Linked DNA regions of Cricetulus griseus. The protein of the gene in region 1 purifies or fractionates together with the protein of each later gene. This does not show direct contact. Links are inferred from orthologs where the notes say so. Each region holds a gene or a part of one and is shown on either strand. Other genes may lie near its edges. The genes, in order: Copa and Copg2.

Evidence for each region.
Region 2: the proteins of Copa (region 1) and Copg2 fractionate together in Homo sapiens (co-fractionation; 4 studies listed by BioGRID and IntAct, with this or other methods). This does not show direct contact. The link is inferred for Cricetulus griseus from reciprocal best matches to the Homo sapiens genes COPA and COPG2.

The regions. Positions count from the first base shown.
Region 1 is NC_048598.1:20,724,906-20,736,468, forward strand, and holds the end of Copa (coatomer subunit alpha), read right to left. Parts: intron 10,791-11,563; coding exon 10,701-10,790; intron 10,535-10,700; coding exon 10,425-10,534; intron 9,523-10,424; coding exon 9,445-9,522; intron 9,278-9,444; coding exon 9,209-9,277; intron 8,344-9,208; coding exon 8,207-8,343; intron 7,986-8,206; coding exon 7,799-7,985; intron 7,715-7,798; coding exon 7,604-7,714; intron 7,363-7,603; coding exon 7,201-7,362; intron 6,071-7,200; coding exon 5,876-6,070; intron 5,616-5,875; coding exon 5,556-5,615; 3' UTR 4,980-5,555; downstream 1-4,979. Other genes in the region: Pex19 (peroxisomal biogenesis factor 19), read right to left, coding at 172-241. UniProt on the Homo sapiens protein: The coatomer is a cytosolic protein complex that binds to dilysine motifs and reversibly associates with Golgi non-clathrin-coated vesicles, which further mediate biosynthetic protein transport from the ER, via the Golgi up to the trans Golgi network.
Region 2 is NW_023276806.1:196,962,122-196,973,886, reverse strand, and holds the start of Copg2 (coatomer subunit gamma-2), read right to left. Parts: upstream 7,121-11,765; 5' UTR 7,106-7,120; coding exon 6,958-7,105; intron 6,506-6,957; coding exon 6,453-6,505; intron 5,655-6,452; coding exon 5,574-5,654; intron 3,010-5,573; coding exon 2,938-3,009; intron 1-2,937. UniProt on the Homo sapiens protein: The coatomer is a cytosolic protein complex that binds to dilysine motifs and reversibly associates with Golgi non-clathrin-coated vesicles, which further mediate biosynthetic protein transport from the ER, via the Golgi up to the trans Golgi network.

The DNA.
Region 1 (11,563 bases):
CGAACACACAGCTCCCGCTGAGGCGGAGGGCCGGCCGGGGTCGAAGTCAGACCACCTCCCCCGCCAACCACTGGAGAGATTCCCCCGCTCCGCCCCAAATCTCAAGTTCCCTTAACCCCGCAGAGGGTCCTCGCCCCCGACCCCTCTGGCCTTCCCGCCACGGGCTCTTACTTTCCAGAAGCTCCTCCAGTTCCCGGTCCGCTTCGACCCCAGCATCGCAACCTTCCTCAGCGGCCGCCATCTTGCTGCCTCCGACTTGCCGTAGGAGGTGGAACCACTGGCGCCACCACACGTCCCGCCCCTAACCCCGCCCCTGTGACTTTGTGCAGCCAATGATATCGCTCTACTGTGCAGGACCGCCATTTTTAAAGGGACAGGAAACCGTGGCTTTCGTTGGTTGTTGTTGTTTTTATTTTTCTTCTGAGAAGCAACCTCGGTCCTCGCACGAACTAAGCCAGCACTCCACCCCCGGAGCTACAGCCACGGCGGTTGGACTTGAACTAGATCTGTTGCGCAGGCTGGTCTAGAAATCGGGCGCCTCCCGCCTCCATTTCCCAAATGCCCGACCCACCAGGCCCAGCTTGAGGTGGGGGCCGGGCTGAGGGGCTGAAGAGGCGAGAGGATCTGTTTGTTAACTTTCCCTTTCGTCCGGAGAGGTTTTGTTTTCAGGCAGGTTCTTCTTGTCCTACTGCCTCCTCCTCCAGAAGGAAGAGATTACACCACAAGATTTAGCTAAACCCGGAGCTAAAAAACTCCCGGTAACGTGCATTTTTTTTTTTAAGGCTAAAAACAGAATTGTCAAATTGAGGCAATTTCAAAGCCTGCATGGTAGGGGAGATTTTTTGTTTGTTTGTTTTCAAGACAGGGTTTCTCTGTGTAGCCCTGGCTGTCCTGGGACTCGCTCTGTAGACCAGGCTGGCCTCGAACTCACAGAGATTCACCTGCCTCTGCTGTGCTGGGATTAAAGGTGTGTGCCACCCCCCCACCCTTAGGAGAGACTTCTACCCATGCCCTGGACTCTGACCTCCACATGTGCTCCTTGACACAAAACAGATAGATAAACAAAATAATGATTGCCAAATCTATTTTTAGCACGTAGTGAGCATCTACAGTTGTATACAATCTTATGCTAGGCACAATGAAATATACAAATAAATCCGAGTTGGTCCTGCCTGTAAGGGCTGACTGGAGGTAGAATTGGAAACACAGTTAATAGAATTCAGACAGACTCAAACACAAACATAATTCTTTCTCTGCATTATTTCCTTCTCTGTTGTGTGTGCATTTGTTTTGTTTTACCGAGACAGGGTTTCTCCGTGTAGCCCTAGCTGTCCTGGAACTCACTCTGTAGAACCAGGCTGTCTTCAAACTCAGAAATCACCCTGCATGTGCCTTCAGAGTGCTGGAACTAAAGACGTGTGCTACCACGCCCGCTCTGCTTTCTATTCCTCCTTCTGATAGTCCTAACATCCTACCGCAATGTAACTCACCCCTCACTGCTCTTTCTGACTTCCTAATACATAGTGAATACTGACAAAACCGTATTTCATAGTACCCCCTCTCCTTTCTTGCTTGAAGAGGCTCATTTAGCTCAGGCTGACCTAGATCCTCATCCTGTTGCCTACACACCCCAAGTACCAGTATTACAGATACTCACTGCCATGCCCTATTCTGCTCATATATTTTTTTTAAGATTTTATTTATTATGTATACAACATTCTGCTTCTATGTACATCTGCACACCAGGAGAGGGCACCAGATCTCATAACGGATGGTTGTGAGCCACCATGTGGTTGCTGGGAATTGAACTCAGGACCTCTGGAAGAGCAGTCAGTGCTCTTAACCTCTGAGGCATCTCTCCAGCCCCTCTGCTCATATTTTTTTCATACTGTTTAAGGACTTAATGGCTCTCCACTGCTTATGATTAACTTCAGACTTTTGACTGATAGAATTATTTCATATATATCCATTCTTCTTTCCCAAGTTAGGTAAGTGACAAGAAGCAGAGATTATCAACTGGGTTCACAATACTTACTTTAGAATGTTTGTGTACAGTTTTGTGATTTAATTTGTAAACTTACAAAAAAAAAGACCCTTATTTTTAGACAGGGTCTCACTATGTAGCACTGGCTGGCCTAGAACTTAAAAGATCATCCTGCCAAGACTTAAAAAATATTTTTAATTATTTAAAATTGTGTGTGCGCACATACGCATTTGGGTGTGTGTTTGTGAGTGCACTTCCTGTTAGGAGCAAGAGGTGACAAATCCCTCTGGAGCTAAGAGTTATAGGTGGTTATGAGCCACCAGGTGTGGATGATGGGAACTGAACTCTAGTCCTCTGCTAAGCCATTTCTGTAACCCCCAAGATGTCGTTCTTGAGACGGTCTCACTCTTTAGCCAAGGCTAGCCTTGAATGTGAGACAATTGTTCCGCCTCAGCCTTCCAAGAATTTTAATTATAGGTGTAAGCCACCATGCCTGATTCTTGCCTGTACTTGCAGGAAGGATGTTTAAAACTTGAGAAAATATTTTTATAGTATACAGGTTTTTGAGAAAGCAGCCTTAGTTTGAGGATTATATTTAAGACAGCAACTCTTAGATCTGACAACATAAAAGTCCTGTGATCTTTGAAGCAGGTATTCCTTTTGTAGTTCAGCCTCAGGGATACTTTCCCCACCCATACAATGTGTGTTCAAGTTTATTTATTGCAACAACGCTGATAATTGCAAAAGACTGCATAACCCAGATACTATAGACACTTTCATAACTTAAAATATGCAGTGAAAAAACTAGTATGTATACTAGTTTTAAAGCAAAATGTTCAAGACCTGTCTCAGAAATAACACAAAGAACCTGGTACACACTTTGCACATCTTTTCCCCAGTGGATATAGATAGCTCAGTAGTAGAATGCTTGCCTGTCATGTGCAAAACCCTGGGTTCAATTCCAGTCACTAAACAAAATTTCTGCATCTATCTAGTTTTTGAGAACGGTGTGTGCTACCCTATGTAGTGCTAGGAACTAAGTCCAGGACCCTGTACATACTAAGCCAGCACTCTACAATGGAGCTACATCTCCAGCTGTGTGCTTGTGTGGATCTACACGTGGGGTTGTGCATGGGAGCGCAGGTGCCTGTGAAGGCTCAAAACCCTGGCTCTCCTGGAGCTGGAGTTACTGGTGATAGAAACTGAACCTGGGCCCCCTGGAAGAACTATGCTTGCTCTTAACTGCCGAGCCACATGTTAGCCTATTTTGTTGTTTTTGAGATAGGGTAGTCCAGGCAGGCCCTGAAATACCCGGAGTTATCCTGAACTTAAAAAAAAAAAAAATGATTATTTTGTGGTTGAACGTTTTGATGGGTGTATAGATTTGTGCACCATGTGCTGTGCCTGTGGTTACCAGAAGGGTGAGTTAGAACACCTGGAACTGAAGTTATAGATGGTTGGAATTGAACCTGTGTACTCTGAAGAGCAGCCAATGCTCTTAACTGCTGAGCCATCTCTCCAGTCTCTGGTCTTCAACTATTTTTTTTTTTTTTTTTTTTTTTTTTTTTTTTTTTTTTGAGACAGGATTTCACTGTGTAGACCTTGGCTGATCTGGAACTCACTATGTAGACTGAGCCAAGTTGGTATTGAATTCACAGATTTGCCTCTGCCTCTGAACTGTTGGGATTAAAGACCTGAGCTGGTCTTAAACTTTTGATCCTGTTTTAACCTTCTAAGTGCTATAGAACAGATGGAGCCACCAGACTGGGTCTGAATGCTTATATTTTAAATCAAAGGAGTAATATATCATCTATCCATTACTCAGTATAGAAGCAAAATGCCCTTCTGACAATTGTGATAGTTCTATGAATATGACATAATTTAGAATCACCTGGTAGAAGGACCTCAGAGAATGTCTGTTTAGAATTATGTGCCCACCGTGGGCAGCAGCATTTGCTGGGCCTGAGGTCCTGAATTTAAAGGAGAAAGCTGCCTGCCTCTGCCTTCAGAGTGCTGGTACTGAAAAGAGGTAGACTTCTTGCCAGGCAGTGGTGGTGCACTCCTTTGGTCCCAGTACTGGGGAGGCAGAAGCAGGCAGATCTCTGTGAGTTCCAGTACAGGCAAGGCTGCCACACAAAGAAACACTGTCTGGAAAAAACAAACAACAATAACAACAACAAAACCCTCCTTTTTCTTCCCAGTCCTGTCAGTTCAGGGCCAGCCAGACCAGCCAAATAAGATCCTGTCTCAAAACAACAACAAAAACAAAAAACAAAAAAGAAAACTAGTCGAGTACTGGCAGGAATACTTGAATTCTTTGCTCTTTGCTCTTGACTGTGGATCTAATGTGACTAGCTGCTTCAAACCCCTGCCACCTTCACTTCCCTGCAGTGATGGACTGACTGTAAGCTGGAAATGGGAGTCAAATAAAGAAACCCTTTCTCCCTGTGGTTGCTTTTGCCAGGGTATTTTTGTCACAGTACTGGGAAAAGAAGCTAAGACAACTGTGTGCTTATTGTAAATACATGAACAGTGATGGACACTGATAGGTGCTCAGCAAATATTGGCTGTAATCAGCAACAGATAGAAAGCTGTAGTAAAAATGCAACAGAGAACTCTTTTTACTTTTTATTTTATTGGTGTTTTGCTTGCATGTATGTCTGTGTCAGAGTGTCAAATCCCCTGGAACTGGAGTTATAGACAGGTGTGAGCTGCCAGGTGGGTGCTGAGAATTGACCCTGGGTTCTCTGGAAGAGCAACCAGTGCTCTTAACCACTGAGCCATCTCCCAGCTCCAAGAGAACTCTTCTTACCATTCTCCAACAATGTAGATCTATGCAGCACATATCTCTTAAGAAAAAAATGTCATTTTCTCCTTGCAGTGATATTAATTAAAATGTATATAATAATTAAAAATTGATTCTGAACAAAGAATCTCCTCTGGTGAGAGAGCTACATAGATGCGAACAGGCACATGAAATTAACTGTCCAAGAAGTAAATGGCAAGCCAGGGAAATAAAGTATTTACTTTATTTTTAATGTGAGCAACAAAACACAAGAACAATGGCTATAAAGGACAAAACAAATCAGTGAAAAATGGTATACATTTTGAAAAAAAAAAAAAAAAGACTCCTCAGTCTGCAAGTGTCTGGGCCCACAGAGGGAAGAAACCTACTGATGACGTTAAATGCCCAAGGAAAATACAAGATAGTTATGAATTTCGTGGCATTTATTAAATTCCACTGTTTTCTAGTGGAGTGGAAACAAAGGCAGTAGGTAAGAGAGGAATAAATACTGAAAGAATCTGCTACACAAATGTCCTGCACAAAGTTTTCATTTGTTCCTTGGAAGACCCAAGCTGAACGGCAAAATCACCTTCAGGAGAGAGAGGTCTGCAGGAGCAAGGTCAAGTCTGAAAATCCCAATTTGCCATAGGAGAGAAAGGACATGAAGTTTCTGGGAGAACCAGATGTCAACAAGCTGAAGTGTGAATGTTAGGGGAGGGAGGGGAGTGGAGCGAGAGACTCTGAAGGACAGGATGTGATTAATCCACGAACTTGAAGGAAGGAGACTTAGCGGAACTGAAGAGGACTGATCCTCAGACCAATCACATCTTTGCCAATCTCTGTCACCTGTGGAAGTGGGAATCAGAGAAGTTAGAGATGAACAAGGCGGAGACCCCAGAAAGCTCATTCCCTACACGCCCCAACAAGCTGTCAGATGGATGCTTGGTCCTGAGAAGTGGGCCAGCGGGCAGAAGCTCCAGCTCTCCCCAGTGTCACTGCCTCAAGGAGCTGGGGCAGATGCAAGGTGAGAAAATCACCACCACCATGCTTCCTTCTCTTGCCCCTCCTCTCAATATCCTCGAGATACTCTTGAGGACAAGACTTACCGTAGTGACTCTGCAGATTTGCCCCTTGAACTCAGGGGCATAGCAGGCCCCACTGAGTGGACACTTCTCCACGGGCTTTCCACGGTAGATGGGCCGGTAAGATGCAGCGCAAATGTCGAAGGGGTTGTGCATGTCGTAACTGAGCTGGCAGGCGTCTGTGGGGTTCTTCTCACAGGCAGACAGGATCTTCCTAGTCTGAAGGGGGAAGAACATTTTGTTTAGGGGATAGAAAGCAGCACAAGTACTCTCTGATATAAGATGCAACTGTATACTGGGCATGATGGCCTAAATCTACAATCCCAGCACTTAGGAGCAGAAGGATCTCAAGTTCCAGGCCAGCCTGAGTTACATACTGAGACCCAGTCTCAAACAACAGAACACAACCACTACACTACAGGAATATAGGTCCCATCCTATGGATAAGATGGATGTGAAAAATTAACAACTGCTATTGCTCCTGGGTGTAGCAGTGCATCACAGCACTCAGGAGGAGGCAGAGACAGGAGATTCAGGACTTTGAGGGCCAGTGTGGGATACACAGTGAAATTTTTCTCTCTTTTCAACATGGCTCCATTGCTCTAAATCCACAGTTCTCACAAAGTCTAGGGATTAGATTACTAGGGTTTGGCCTCAGAAAGAGTTAAAACAGATTTCTATTGCCTAAGAAGAATGTTTTTAGATGGCATAGATAATGGATTATGTATGAGAAGTACAAGAGGTCAAGCTGTGTCACCTGGAGCTTAAGAACAGACGCATCATCTGCAGGTGCACTGGAGTTATTCTAGATTGCACAGCCAAGGAGCAGTAACACGCAGCACAAATGCCAAATTAAAAATTAAATCTAGCCTGGTGTGGTGGTACATGTTTTTAATCTCAGTACTGGGGAGTTAGAGGCAGAGGCAGAGGCAGGCAGATCCTCTGTGAATTGGAGGCCAGCCTGGTCTACATAGTGAATTCTAGGACAGTCAGGTCTACATAGAAAAAAAATTGAGTCAAACTTGGGCAAGGTATTTTCCTTCTCAGTATTGCTTTCTCATTACTAAAATACAGTTATAGTCTGTATAGTATAGGGTCTACTCCATTTAAACATCTACATAAAGTATTTTAGCATGTCACTTACCCAATGCCATGTCTGAATAAATTATTACTTTGGTTTCAGGGGGAAAAAAAGAAGCTCCAAGGTCAATAAGTAACACATAGCGTGTCATTCTATTGGCTGTTTGGGGCTGAATGCTGTTATACTGTTTTGTTTCAGAGACAAGGACCTTGGGCTTCTATTCCTTCCATCTGGCCCCCCTAAAGTCCCTAATGGAATTCCCCTGTACCTGTTGGGCCACTTCAGGCTTTGGCCCAAGTTCTAGCAAGCGCCGGGCAAATGTGGCAGCTGTTTTGAAATTCTTGAGCTTGAAGAAAAGGTTGAGGGCTGTCCGCAACACCAGGATCATATGCACAGGCTGCAGGTTTGAGTGTGTGAAATAGGCTGCCATCTAGTGGACAGAAAGGAACACAAGGCAGGCTGATGTTCAGCTGTTGTTTATTAATAGGCACACAATTATAAAAAACAAAATAATACAAAGCAAAGATGATTGGCTATAAGACAGAGATTAGTTCTACCTCTTAAAATACGAGAGCTGATGATCTGAGGAATAAGGGTGGAGAAATGGAGAGGAACTCCAATAGAGGGCTATGGGGATGGTGCCTTTGCAGGGCTGGCCCTACGCATCTTACCTCACAGATGCGCTTCTGCTGCTCTAGGCTCTCCTTAGGCAGCTTCTTCCTTTCTATCTCCATGCACAAACCCACAATGTATTCACGGCAGATGGTGATGAGCTGCTGGGCCTGAAGAGGTTGCAGAAAACAGTCATGACACAGACAATACTGTGGAGATGCCCAGGATGATTGGGCAAGTGGCTTGACTCCTACCTCTGCAATCTCCTGCTTATTGTCCACAACAAGAAGAGGCACACTGAGCAAAATGGAACGGAACTTTTCCACAGCTTCTTCAAACTTGCCAACTGTGGTGAGCTGGTAGCACAGCTGTAATCGTTGGATCAGGTCATTAAGCTTTAGGCCCACAGCTGGCACACCATTCTTTAGCCCTGCCTCCTTCCTGGAAAGGAAAAATTATGAAGAAAATAGGATAGTCAGTCATTCTACTGTGAAAGTAGCTGGGAACAGGATGACAACTGGTATAAACCAAACTCCAAAGTAACAAGCCATAGATCTTTTCTTCTGGAAACCTTAGCTCCAGGGCAATTCCGTTTCACTGTGGTTACCATCTGAAGTGTCTACTTCAACTTGGAAGAGGTAGCAAGGAGCAAGCAGACTTACCAGTTTCGATTAGGGTAACTATACATGGATGGCAAGCAGGGCAGTGCTTGATAGGTGGTGCGGCCTCGGGCATATGTCTGTAGGAACAGTTGCTTATAGGGGCCAAACTGGATTACTCCCACCTGGTCATGAAGAAGCTACCAAACAAAAAAGAAACAGGATTTGTTTTCTTTCTTTTTTGGTTTTTCAGGTTAAGGTTTCTCTGTGTTGCCCTGGCTGTTCTGGAACTCACCTTGTACACCAGACTGGCCTCAACTCAGAGAGAGCCACCTATTTCTGCCTCTATACTGCTGGAGGATTTCTTTTCTCTCTCTCTTTCTTTCTTTCTTTCTTTCTTTCTTTCTTTCTTTCTTTCTTTCTTTCTTTCTTTCTTTTTTTCAAGATTTATTTATTTATTTTGTATACAGTGTTCTATCTGCATGTATGTCTGCAGGCCAGAAGAGGGCACCAGATCTCATTACAGATGTTTGTACGCCACCATGTGGTCCTGGGAATTGAACTCAGGACCTTTTAGAGAGTAGCCAGTGTTCTTAATCACTGAGCCATCTCTCCAGCTCTGAGGATTTATTAAAAATTAAGTCAACCTTGGGTAAGGTATTTTACATCTCTGTATTGCTTTCTCATTGCCAATATACAGGTAATTATAGGATCTCCATTTAAACATCTATATAGAGTATTTTAAAATAACACACAGCAACAATAAAGAAACACTGATGGTTGTTACAGTTGTTGTCATCCTAACACTTGCAGTGTGTGCAGGAACAGGTGCTGGTTTTCCTCATGTAAGCCAGAAAGCAGGCTACCAGCACTGGCAATGGCTGAAGATGCATCTTAAACCCTCACTGGCCAAGTGGAGAGTGGAAAGAGGCCTTTGTAAAGCCTCTTGTGGGCCCTTGTGGGTCAGACCACTACTCCCACGTGGCTGAAAAGATGAGTCCACCATTCTCCTGGGACTCTGGAATAGACACTCAAGAGGAAGGGCCAAGGTTTTTAAAGACTTACCCGCATGGCTGTTTCAAAAGAACCTGCCAGGATGTGATCAACTGGAAGCTGAGAGTTATTGCACCAGATCTAGTAAGAAACAGAAAACCTAAGTCAAATGAAAAATTTCCTTTTTCTTTCCAATTCTCCTCCTCCATATCTGTTAAAGGTAGCCAACATCTCCCCACCCCCTCCAGAAATCAAATATTAACCATCCCAGAGCACTCATCCCTGTGTAATTGTATTTTTCTGCTTACTTGAGTTGGGCTTGTTCCCTTGGTTGGGGGCACAAAGAAGCCATCTTCAGCACCACCGGCAACCCCAGCAGGTATATCCTAGAGGAAGAAAAATTAAGGCTTTGTTTAAACAGTCTGACAAAGCCTCAAACTCCCCATGTAGCAAGGACTGAATCTTCCTGCCTCTACCACTGTGCCTGGTTTATGTATTGTGGGGCTCTCAGCAAAGGCTTTGTACGTGCCAGGCAAGCACTGATCAACTCAGCTATGTTTGCAGGCTGGACCACCTCACGACATTTAAAAAAGCTGTCCAGGTACTGTGTTCTGATGATTTCAAGGCACAACCATCTAGATGGCCACCTCTGTTCAAGAAAAGAAGTGATGGTTGCGGGAACCACCTTACCAGGGACATAAAAGACACATTTTAGATGCCTACCTCTGCTGGAGAAAGATGATGGTTATAAGAGGGACAGATAGGAAGCCATGCCACCAAAATGAAAATGACATAACAAAAGCTCCAAATAAGATTTTAAACACCCCCCCTTCAAGTGGAAGATAAGCATTAGATTAGAGAGAGGTTATGTATCCCCTTCTCTAATGCTACATAAGAATGGAAACAAGGCTACAGTCCACAGTCAGCTCTCCTCTTTCAAAACCTATCAGATTAGGAGGCTGCTCTGGACCACTCTTTGTGGAGACTTCAGGATAGGCATCCTGTAAGAGATGTGTGTGTGTGTGTGTGTGTGTGTGTGTGAGAGAGAGAGAGAGAGAGAGAGAGACAGAGAGAGAGAGACAGAGAGAGACAGAGAGAGAGAGAGAGAGAGAGAGAGAGGAGAGAGAGAGAACAGAGAGAGAGAAAGACAGAGAGAGAGAGAAAGAGAAGATAGAAGAGAGAGAGAGCAGAGAGAGAGAGAGAGAGAGAGAGAGAGAGAGAGAGAGAGAGAAAGCGAGCATGCACCTGCCAGTTTTTATAGGGTGAAAAGGGGAGGAACTTCACATACCAGCTCAGGTGGGAGCTCCAGATCTTCTTCTACATCCCAGCCACCTCCTTCTTCTTGTCCCTTGCCAAGAGCATCCTCTCCCAAACCTTCTGAAGCCTCCACAAACCCATCTGAAAGGAAAATCCAGGATCAAAATAGATTTGGGTGGTAGCATAAAAAAAGCAAAATATTAGGATCTAATTGGCTCCATGAGTTAGAAGCTTATTGACTGCCCCATGGATAACTTCCATCCATGGAGCCTATCATCTAAGAAGAGTCCTAAAATAGCATTCCTACCTTCATCTAACTGCAGTTCCGCATCCTCTCCCCAGCCTTCAGTACCAACAGTGTCAATGTCAATGTCAGCAGCCAACGCTCCTCCCTTCCCTACCAAAGGAAGGACAGAAGGGAAATGGTTAGAGGCTATCAAGTCCGATCTCTACAGGCAAGGGGCAAGCTTCCAAAGGCAGTTGCTCAGGGCTGTGTCCTCAGGAATATGTGTTTTCCACTTAGGAAGTGCTAACTCTGAATGTCAGTAAACATGTTTTATTGTGTTAAGTCTCAAAACAACAAAAATACTCCAAACAAAACCCAATAATAATTGCCGAGGTTCTGGTTTTTGTGTTTGTTTTGTTTTTCTTTTAATGTCTGTGTATATGAGTGTCTGCAATTCTAGTGCTGAGAATCTAAACTCAGGCTCTCATTCTTGCATGGCAGGTACTTTACTGACTGAACCAGCTCTGAAGTAAAATTTGGTTTTTTGAGACAGGGTTTCTCCGTGGCTTTGGAGGCTGTCCTGGAACTAGCTCTTGTAGACCAGGCTGGTCTCGAACTCACAGAGATCCACCTGCCTCTGCCTCCCAAGTGCTGGGATTAAAGGCGTGCGCCACCAACGCCCGGCCCTAACCATATATTCTGAGTTATTGTTTTTGCTGTACATATGTTATGCTAACTTGCAACAGGATCCACAAAGAAAGGAAATAGAAGAGATAACCAGAAGTTGTTTTTTGGGGGAGTGGTGATGATAGCTAAGTTCAATGGTAGAGAGCTTGTCTAGCAAGCATGATGTCCTGGGTTCAATCCCTGTTGAGGTGGGAGAGAACTAACTCTCTGTTACTAAAATCTGGCTGTCTCTGGCTGCCCACCCTTGGACCTTCTTC
Region 2 (11,765 bases), on another chromosome or scaffold:
AAGGGCTCATCTTGATTGCTTCCCTTTCTCAGATCACAGTCCTTGCATGCTGGACATACTGTCTGGAAACTGCAACTTCACATGGTTTTTTTTGTGTGTGTCTTTAGTATTTAGTATTTAGCAGGGCAAATCCAGCCCTACACAAAGCTGGAAACAAAACAGAAATGTGGTTCTTAAGATCAAAATATGGAGTAATTTATCCAAAATAACTGATTTTCTTTTCCTACTCGTTTCTTCTGCTTCTTTCAGTACTGATTTCTAACCCTGCTACAGCATAGCTAAAATACGATTTTGTTCCTTTAAAATTACCTGTCTGCTTTTATTCTGGTTCTGTAAATGCTGTGTTCTTCATTTATATACACAATTAGATAAATTTATGTGTTTGTCTTTTTCTCTTCTCTTGCTCTCATTCTCTTGCTTCACTTTTTAATGGGCTTCACACTGTGACACAGACTACACTTGAACTCAGTAGGCAGTCAAGAATGGCCCTAAACTTCTGGTCATCCTGCTGCTACCTGCCAAGTGGTTACAGGTGCACACCATCGCCTGGTGTGATGGGCTTCATGCATTCAAGCCAAGCACTCTACCAACTAACCAATATCTTCAGCTCATCCTATTTTCCTCCAATTATTTTGGAAAAGAAACATTAATAGGAAAAACAATAAATCAAAAAGCTTGCTCCATGAAAATATCTATAAGGTATAAACCTCCAGATGAAACTCTAAGGAATACAAGACATAATTTACCCATATTAAAATGATAGATATCATTACAAAATCTACAGACATTATAAAAAAAGATAATGAACAATTTTATTTTCCATCCTCCAACAAACTCAACCTTGTGCATACACTCACATGCACACACGTACAGGTGCACTCACACACACAGAAAAATTCTTTTATCATTTCAATTTTCTTCCATTAATGTTCCTATCCTTCAAATTGAAATCTTTTGTTCCCTAAGGATTGCCCTGCAACTTTCTAAATGGTGGCTGTTTTCTTTCTCATAACCTCCAGACAAGGAAGCCACTCCTGCCTTTTCAGCTCCTGACATCACCTTCTTTCAGTGCACCCCCTTCCCTAAAACGTTCTGGATTTTAAATGTCATGCCCTTACACCATATCACCTACCATCATTCACCGCAATGGTGACTCATTTTTGCTGTCACAGCCTCTAGCAGTGACAGCCACCACTCTTGGCTCCATCAACCTGGTTCATTCTATCATTACGTATAACCCCTCTATCCTATAATTATTTGCTGACCCCAACAGGCCCAATGCCAGGTACCTGACTGCAAAATCAGAGCCACATCCAGCCTTGCCTGACTTTTATAAAACAGCACTATTCCAACAACTTGAAATGCCTACTTTTCTAGTCTAACCCTGAAGGAAGAGCACAATGGCTCTGTTTTTTGATTGAACGCTGAATTCTTGGTACAGGAAGTGATTAAAAGGGTGCATGTCCTAGAGGCTAGGAACTTGAAAATGCTTCTCTGTTTGGACTGAAGACATTAACAATCCTGTTTCTAGGTAATCAGGGGATGAAAGTAGTCCATAGCATGAAATAACAAAGAAACATTTAAATTATCACTTGTAAAGACTTACAGAAGACAGTTTTAGTTAAATAAGAGGGTGCATTGTAATAAAAATTAAGTTGTTAAAAGTAATTTGTTTAGGGGGCTGAGAAAGCTAGTTCAGTAGGTAAAGGCACTTGCTACCGATACCGAAGGCCTGAGTTCAATCACCTGGACCGTCATGGTGGAAGGACAGGACTGAGTATTGCAAGTCGTCCTCGACCTCCACACAGGCACCACCGCATGTGTGCACATACAAATCACATACAAATCTCTTCAAAGAAAATGATGAGCTTAACAGGTTTAAAATGGACAGCTGAAAGTCTGTGAAGGAACCAGAGATCCTCTCTGGTCATATATACTATATATTATACTGCTGTGTGACAGGAACCCTTTTGCCATGACCATGTGGCCACAAAACTGGGAAAGCATATCCTGCAGGAAGTTTAATTACAAAACAAATTGAAGCCATACCCCTGGAGAACTAGATTGGCAAGGAAGAAGATCTGAAAGTGAGGTGGAGACAAATGGACAGATTTTGATGAAGGTATCTGAAACCCCAAATTCTGCCAAGCATCTTTTGTCAATACAAGTACTCTGATCTGAGGGGACTGTTCTCCCTCTACCTGAGCATATATAAGGCTTCCCTTAATAGAACTGTCCTACAGGGGTCTGCTGATTTTCTTGAAGAACCACTTCTAAAATCTTCATTATCTAGACATATGGGGCAGACTCAAATCCCAGGGGTCCTAGGAACTGGACACAAAATGTACCCTGTGCTGATACACAATATGCATGAAAAGAAGTTGGCAAAAGCATGTTAACAAAAGGCTAAGAAATATGTATCCCAGAATTCTCCTCCCTGTGTGTGTCTGTATTGAAGCTGGGCACAGAAGAGATGTGCCACACTCAGAAAACACAAGGAGAGCGGCAGCAACCACCTCTAAGCACTGAGGTGGCCCAGGGTAATGAGGCAGCTACGGAGGTGTGGCAGGCTTACTGTGTCCCCACTCCAAATGCAGCTCTTTTCAACCGCCACCCCGCTGACCAATAACCTGGACCCAAGAAAAACCTGACTAGGAGCCAACTGAGCGGGACTTCAGGTATCAGCTTTCCCCCTAATGACGTCAGGAGCAGCTTTATACTATATACTTTATATAGTAATACTATACAATATACTTTATACTATATACTTTCATTCTCCCACATTCACATGACATTTAAAAACATCCGTAAGTTTTATAAGGAAAGACTGTTTTAAAGTCATTTTAAACATTTCAAACAACCCTCTTTAATTTGGAATACTCTTAAGTTCCTGGGAAAAATAAATGTTTTCATCATAAAAGAATAAAAAAGACTTACATCATTAGATTGAAACAAGCGAGTCATTGCAAAGAAGGCTTCTGTAGCTTCCATAGTCCCAAAGGGCTCACCCTAAGTAAAATTTAAAACGAGTTTTTAAAATGAAAAAATATAGATGTTAAGGATTTTCTCTTTATTTCCTCAAGAAATCATTTTGAATTCAGGAGAAGGTCTCTTTATAAACATTCTTGGCAACTTTTCTGCTTTCGATTTAGAAACCTGCAGGGGAGAAAAACTCCTCAGGGCCATTTAGAGACTTGTTATTTAAAATAATTCAAAATACCACACCACAGTTCTGGAATTGTAGTCTCTACATCTTTAACAGAAACTGCTTCTATTTCCCTCAAGGATTTACAGGGAGGTAAAACATGATAGGAAGTAGAATTTCCAATCACCATTGCATGATAAGGTCACACAACCTAAAATCAGGGATTACACCTTGTAAATTTCCACAGTCTAATGCCTGGCACATAACCAGTACAGGACAGGTGTATCGCGCTTGCGTGCGTGCGTGCGTGTGTGTGTGTGTGTGTGTGTGTGTGTGTGTGTGTGTGTGTGTGTGTGTGTGTGTGTGTGTGTGTGTGTGTGTGTGTGTGTGTGTGTGTGTGTGTGTGTGTGTGTGTGTGTGTGTGTGTGTGTGTGTGTGTGTGTGTGTGTGTGTGTGATCCCAGAAAAAATGGCAACATGGTATCCAAACCAAAAGAGAAGGATCTAGATTCATCTTCTTTTTATCTTTCTAGGTGCTATAGATACTGACCTAAAAACTCTTAGAAGCATGATTTGGAGCTTACAATTTTTGATGCGAAAACAGATTATTTAGGGATCCTGTCAAAATGCAGTCCCCTTCAGTGAAATCTTGAGGAAACATGACAGTTTTCACTTGGTACAAACTCCCAGACACGACAATGCTGTTGCTGATCTGGCAGTAGCTCAGATAGACAACTTAATTCACTAATTTAAAACATTTCTGGTCATAGACTTCCTCAAACACTACCATTTCAATACTTACTCTTTTCTTTGACATTGGTCCTATACAGCACATCAAGCCCAATCAGTTTTCAGGGTTCAGATTTTAAATGAGATACAAGTAGTCTTACATCTATTTGCCAAGGGGATAAGAATTTTGCTATAAAAAGTGTCTCCAGTTTAGGATGAAAGACAAAGTCTAACAAAAGTTTACAACTATTTAAATCAGTGTCCAACTTGCTTATCAGAAAGAGACAGGCCTTTCTTACTGTGAAACTCGCCAAATACCCAAAATCCTGTGGGAGTCTTCAGTCATATTAGAAAAATCTTGTTACTACTTTTTGACTTAAACTCAGAATGTGTGGCTCTGTCAACTCTAGCAGAAATTTTGAAGTGTTTTTTTGTTTGTCTGTTTGTTTGTTTGTTTCTCCCCCTTTTCTCATAGAGTTCTACAAGAACCAGGGAAGGGGATAAAATGAATGCTCCCAACCCTGTTTACATGACCAAGTTCATGCCCAGTCTCCTTAACAAGATCACTGCCAACAGGAATTGATCCAAGAAAGAGATATTGGCCAACTTGACTTTGACTTCTTTGAACCAACTTTGACTACTACAATTCCAATGGAGTTAGCCACTTTGGACTACAATACAATATATGTGATGCAAAGTCAAACTGATTTTGGCTTAAACATTCCTAACATGCTGCCACAGTAGGGTAACATGCTTATTTCTCAATCTTCATTTGGAAACAACAAAATTTTGTTAAGTCTTTAGATTACGTCTTTAGAGGCTGTTAAGATGGCTCAGTGGATAAAGACACTTGTTACCAAGCCTGACAACTTGAGTTCAGTCGCCATGTAGAGAGACCCGACCTCCATATGCACTTGAGGAAAGCACACACAAAGTTAATAAGTAAATGTAAAAAAGTAAAATAAAATTTTTTCTTAGAATTTCAGTTGGTAAATATAACACATTTAGTAATACATATAAATCTCTTAGGTATGCAAAGTATATAGGTTTGTATATAAATACTCAAAGAGAAACATACTGTCTACAAAATAAAATCATATTTTCTAAAGTTTTAAATATTTGTGAGACTGAATTTACTGTTTGAGGCAAAGGCAAAAAAGAAAATTAATAGCAATAATAGAACACAGAATTTAAAAAAAAAATTGGTTTTGTCTGCTATAACACCAGTGCCTAGAACAGTATATAAGATACAGCAGGAATGCAATAAAACTTGTTGAGTTACAAAAGGAAAGTATTTCTGAATACAAACTATGTGCTTAATACTATTACAATGGCTTATATCTACTATTTCATTTAACTGTAATGTTATCATCTGGGTGTGGTGGCACACACATTTAATCCCAACACTCGGGAGGCAGAGGCAGGCCCATTTCTGTGAGTTCGAGGACAGCCTGGGCTGATCTACAGAGCATGTTCCAGGACAGCCAGGGCTATTACACAGAGAAACCATCTCAGGAGGAAAATATATTGGTATTGCAATCCTCATTTACACAAGAGCAGTAACCCACATAATGATTAAACTACTTGTCCAGAATCAAACTGGTAGTAATAGTGTAATAATGCTACTAATACAAAACCTGAACATGGCTCATGTTATTTCTGTCCTAACAAACAAATCTCAGGAAGTCAGAATAGTTTACCTGGTTGAGTAAGTACAGAATCTTTGTCAAGATATGCAAGCATCTTCTTGGATTGATGGGGGTTTCATTGAATATGCGTGCCTACAGAAACATGCAAAACAGTATGCTATATATGGTGTAATTTCTATCACAGAGGACAACAAATCATCTTTAGTAACATTAACATCACGTTAGTAAACTATCCAAATAATGTCAGTTGTCTATGCTCTCAAGTTATGACAGTATACAGTAAATTACTGGATGGGACCTGGACTTTCCTATCTATACTTTCTTATTTACTCCCTTAGGTTGGCTATTTCAACTTTAAAGACTTTACCAGAACCTCTGTCTACATAGGAACATCAAGAGTTTAATATCTGAGCTGGGCGTCAGTGGCACACGCCTTTAACCACAGCACTCGGAAGGCAGAGGCAGGTGGATCTCTGTGAGTTCTAAGCCAGCCTGGTCTGCAGAGGGAGTTCCAGGACAGGCTCCAAAGCAATACAGAGAAACCCTGTCTCGAAAAACCAAAAAATAAAATAGTTAATATCTGTGAAGTCTTCCAATAACCTTGCACTTAACACTACTTCTTCTAGTATTTCATTAAAATCCCCCAGCACCCAACAGAGCCTGTAGGTCTACCTCTCTATGGTTCCAGACTGCCCTTTTCCCTCTTTCTATCCTCTGCACTCAGTTATACTCCTTTCTTACTTTTAATATAAAAAAGAAAAATCAATTTCTTTCTTTGACCAAATGTAGGGAAGAGTGACTTTTAGCCTGCCAGGTGGGTCTACGCTCCTTCATTCTTATTTTGGGTGTCCTGACTTTAGTACCTCAGAGGTTCTCTGCCCATCATTCTCAAACAGAATCAACAAGGTAGTGCACACATTCAAGCCATACCTCCTGCAGGACAGCACTCTTCTCCAAATTCTGGAAAGGATTGGAAGCACTACCTATAGTGTAAGAAAAAGAGAAGGTCTTCGGTAGCTGTCCTGCAAAGACTTTTTCCAGAGAAGGACATTGCATGCTTGGGGATTCTCACCTCAACAGTATGGTCCCTTGGAAGTCACAAGGACAACCATGACTAATATGCAAATTAGTTGGAAGAAGTAATTTTGGTTCTGGTACAAATTCTGTCATTGCCATACTGAGGGAGCATGGCCTTCTCTGGATATAGGAACCCTGTCCAAAATGAGTGCCTTCCCCCATCCCATGGATGTTAACAAATGTGTCGCTTCCACCACCACCACCAAGAGTAATGAGATGACAGGACACTATGGATTTCCCTAAAAGCAAGCCCTGCTGTACGTGTTTCACACATTTACTGAAGCAGAAAGGAACAGTGTCGCAGAGAATCACAAATGTAAAGAGGCCATGCAGGATGAGGCCATGAAGGTCCACTAACCCAACCTTCCACCACACTTGTGAGAGCAGCTACCACTGAAGAGCTGAAGATTTTTTTTTTTTTTTTTGAAGAGGCTTGGCATCTTCCCCACTTGCACTGCACCACAGACAGGGATCAACACGCAAGTCACTTCTGGATGCCTGCGCATTCAATGAGCTGTGTCCCACCGGGCAGTCTTAACCCCTGGGAACAGGAGAATCAAGGCCCTTCAGAGTCCATAAACACGCAACCCTGGCCCGGTCGACCCCAGCCAGCCCCAGCAACCAGGGGTGCTCGCCCTGGGGCCTAACCCCACCAGCAACCCCAGGCTACCGAGACATGCGCGCGCACCTCCTCGCCCCCCGACAGGGCCCCGCGGAGGGCCGGCTCTGAGGGGCGGGGACGCGCCGGGGCGGAGCCGCCGAGCGCTCCAGGCGACACCCGGGCCGGGAGCGCGCGGCCCGAGGGGAGGCCCCGGCGCCGGGGGAGGGGCTTCGGGCAGACCCCGCCGATGCGGCCGGTCCCCGGAGCAGGTGGCTGCTGCGGGCGAGGGAAGGGGGACCCCTGCGCTGGAGGGTGGGCGTCCGGAGCGCCGCGCGTACCAGACTCCTCGTCCTTCTTGTCGAATTTTTTAATCATCTTGGACGGCTTCCCAGCGCCCAGACCCACCGCAACCGTTCCAGGCGCCGCAGCCGGCGAGCGGAAGACGCTGCAGGAAGGCCGGCCCCGTGTCCTCACACCGGTTGGGCCAGCGGGCCGTCACTCGGGGCCAAGGCCCGCCCCCCTCGGGCGTCCATGGCCGCCCTCGCCCCCTAGGGACGCAGGCACGCCCTCTGCTCCGCCCACTGTCGCACGGGGGCGGGGCCAGGGCCAGACCCTGCCCGCAGGCTTGCCCCGCCCCTCGTCCCAGGTTCTGCAACTCGGGTCTGAGGCAGCAAGTGTGGAACTTTATTTGGTTAGTTGGTGACTTCTCCAGGCCTCCTCAGTTCTTGGAGAGCCAGGAAGGGGTGAAGGATTTGTCTTCACTTAATGACGGTGGCATTTTGGATAACCCACTGCTGAGCTCTTCCATAGCGAAAGACGTTCTCCCCTGGCACAGTTCTGGTAGGCTTCTCCTCCAGAAGCTTTAAAAATGTCAGTGGTTCCAAAAGCATGGACGAAGTTGGTGTCGCATCCTCTGACTTCTTGGAAACTACGACAAAGCATAGAACGCATTGAATGTGCATCTCCGAAAGGACTAGAGGGATAATTAAAGGAAGGTGTGATGCGATCCGTTTGGTGGGACCAGACTAACTCTTACCAAGAGGGTGCATTCTGGGACTGCCATTCTTGACCTCTTTGGATTCTGGATTCCTTCGTCACCAAAACCCACTGCCAATTTGGTCTTCAAATGATTCAATCTTCAGCCATACTGGTTAACGCTGAAGTAATTTAAGGGACACACACACTCTCTCTCTCACGTGCCCCGGTGCTTTCCCAAAATGTTCTCTCATTCTCGGCCCCGTCTCGAAGTATGAATAACACAATTTTTCTACCTTTGTCATGGATGGCATCATATTCTAGATGGTCTTTCCGGTTCCACCTGTTCTTAGGGCGTTGTCTATTGATGAAGGATCTTAACTACTGTCCTGGGTTCAGGGTGTGGTTTGCCTCTTGGGCAAATTCCTAACGAGCCTACAAAACTTCTACCCAGATCTCTCCAGAAACACATCACTGTTGAGGAAATGCACCATAACTGGCCATTTAGGTACACAGTAAACTAACAACTCAGGTTTGGAGAGGTCATCATTAATGTCACTAATATCATTAGAGGCTGCAGACTGATATGCTACTTTATGCCTGTATACCTAGGTCATCCTGTTACAGACAGGGCTCTTGCAAAATTACAAAGTCTTACCAAGGTTATATTGCAAATAGTAAAGAAAAATTTAAGGCATGGTTGGCTCATGCCTTAAATCCCCAGCACTAGGAGGCAGAGGCAGGGAGATTTCTGAGTTTGAGGCCAGCCTGGTCTAGAGTGTTTCCAGGATAGCCAGGGATACACAGAGAAACCTTGTCTCGAAAAACCAAAAGAAAAATTTCCCACCAGACACAGATTTAAGCTGAATAATGTGTCTAATCCTTAATAATGGTATTACTTAAGACTTTGCTCCATTCTGATTAAAAGTACTATGCTAGGGGCTGGAGAGATGGCTCAGTGCTTAAGAGAACTCGTTGCCCTTGCAGAGGACCTGGGGTTCAATTCAGCACCCACATGATAGTTCACAGCTATCAGTAACTCTAGTTTCAGAGGATCTGATGCCCACTCTTCTGATCTCTGTGGGCAACCAACCACACATGAAGTACACAGCATATAGGGCAAAACACTCATACATCAAATAAAATAAATAAATCTAACTTAAATTTTTGAGGACTACGCTAATGATTGTAACTGCCTCATTTGGCTTATAAATTCTAACCCATGCTCATCATGTGGAGTCTCTTGTGGAAGAAACATGCTTCCTCATCTATATTCTGGGGCTGAAAACAAACAGGCTTTGGAGAAGGAGAGACCAGTTATGGGATCATCTTTTGTACACTGTGAAGATGTGTCTCTGCCAAGGCATCTTCTGATTGGTTTAATAAAGAGCTGAATGGACAATAGCCAGACAGGAGAAGAAAAGGATGACTTCAGAGGAGAGAAAAAACTTGGAAAGAGTCTTCTGCATGCTGGGGGATGAAGCCAACAAGATGTGGAGGTGGTTGGATGTACAGTATGAAGAGAGGTAATGAGCCCTGTGGCGGAATATATGTTAATATAAACCGGATAATTTAAGTTATAAGAGCTAGTTGGGAACAAGCCTAGGCTAAGTCGAATCTTTTATAATTAATAATAAGTCTCTGTGTCATTATTTGGGGGGAGTCCAAAGAAAGTCTGACAAGAGAGACCTGCTATAGAGACCCTCTTCTCCCTTGGACCATAGTTATTGGGAGTTAGGTAGGGACAGGGTCATGAAACCTGGCAATTTTCAAGAACAGGTAATGTAAAGGAGGCCTGTGGAAGAGTAAAGAAACTGAGGGTGGGGTGAGGCTGGGCTCTTTTAAACAAGATGGATCACTGTGCTTCTTCAGCTTTTTCATACATTGATCCATTTTTCCCCCTCACTACAGATTGGTTTCAGTTGTATATGGGGAATTGGGGAGAAGCATAGGTAGGGATAGAATGGAAGGAGGGGCAAATGAGTATAGGAGGAGACAGAGACGATGGAAGGAGGCTAGGAAAGGGTGGTATAATATAACCTATATCTCTAAAAGAAAATAATGATTGCCTTATGCTAAAGCTGTGACTGGTGAAGTCTAGAGGCTCATCAATTGCATGTCTAATATACAGTTATGTGTTTGACACCCCGAAACCCTTCAGTGGGGCCCAACTACATAATGGAGAAAATCCAAGCACATATTGCATATTTATATAATATACAAGGCCCTTCGTGGTCTAGACTGTCTTTACCTTTGGTGTTTAGTAAGAGCCTAACACAGAACACCCGCCCCCATGAGTGTTATCAAATGAGAGACAATGTATGAGCATTCTTACTATGCCTTCTGTAAATCCTTGTCCCAACACCCTTCAACCCTATTCTTACCTCTGTCTCAAAGAGACCTGCTGGCCTCTGAGACACACATACTTTTTGTTGTTTCAAGACAAGGTCTCACTATGTAGCTCTAGCTGTTCTGGAACTCACTATGTAGACCAGGTTGACCTCAAACTCATGAGATCTGCCTGTCTCTGTCTCTCAAGTGCTAGGGTTAAAGACGTGAACATCAGGCTTGTGACACACATACTTAGCCTTTGGTCCTTTACAGCAGGTTTCCAGAAAGTATGATGTGCACGTATCTGGGAGGTTTTAGGTTGTACACAAATATACATTTTAAACTACATGTAGCCAAATGTCAAATCCAGGTTATCAACAATTATACTATTTAGTTTAAGAGTTTTTTTTTTACTTTAAAATGCATCATTATTGCAAAAACTATGAAAATGGTAGATTGATATAGTCCAGGGAACTCTCTTACCTTCTTGAACTTTCTAGAAATGTGAGTATCAAAATAGTCTAGCACCATCTTAACTTTCCTTCTATAAGGAAAAGTAGTGTTTGGACCCATGACAAAAGATGCCAGCTCAAGCAAGTCTCTAAGCCCAGTGGATTCTCACTCTAGCCCACATCTCAGTTTAGCAAAGCACAGTTGGAGAGAGGAGAACTTACCGTCTTTCTTTGCCTCTCTCTGGGAGGCTGGAGCAAAGATGAGGTTAGGATACATTTTTCTCTGTTTCCTCAAAGCATAGACTTCAGAGTACTTCCCTTCAGTCTTGAAATCATTGTCAGTGGAAAACCTTAACCAACAAAAGTGTACTTGGTTGATATAGGACTGTGAATTAATGGCTAGCCACCTAAAAGTCAGCTACATCACCGGAGATCCCAAGGAAGAAAGGAAAATAGCCAGAGGGTTGGGGTGGTTGGTTTAAAAAAAAAAATGGAGGGATTGAGATACTGGCCATGCTTCAAACCTTTCAGCTGATTCCAGAATCCCCTGTCTTCTCAATATTAGATAAAATCCTCCTTTGAATTGTAATGATAAATTTTCCGCCAAGCCACCCTAGACCCGCTGCCACGTAGATGCCCGAAATAACACACAGACTCTTATGTTGATTACAATGCTGCTGGCCAATGACTAGGATTTCTTATCTGCTATCTCTGTCTTAAGTATCAACCATAATTATTAATCTATATATTTTATAAAGACTTATGGAGGATGCCGGCAGAATGCATCCTGTCTTCCTGGGGACCACA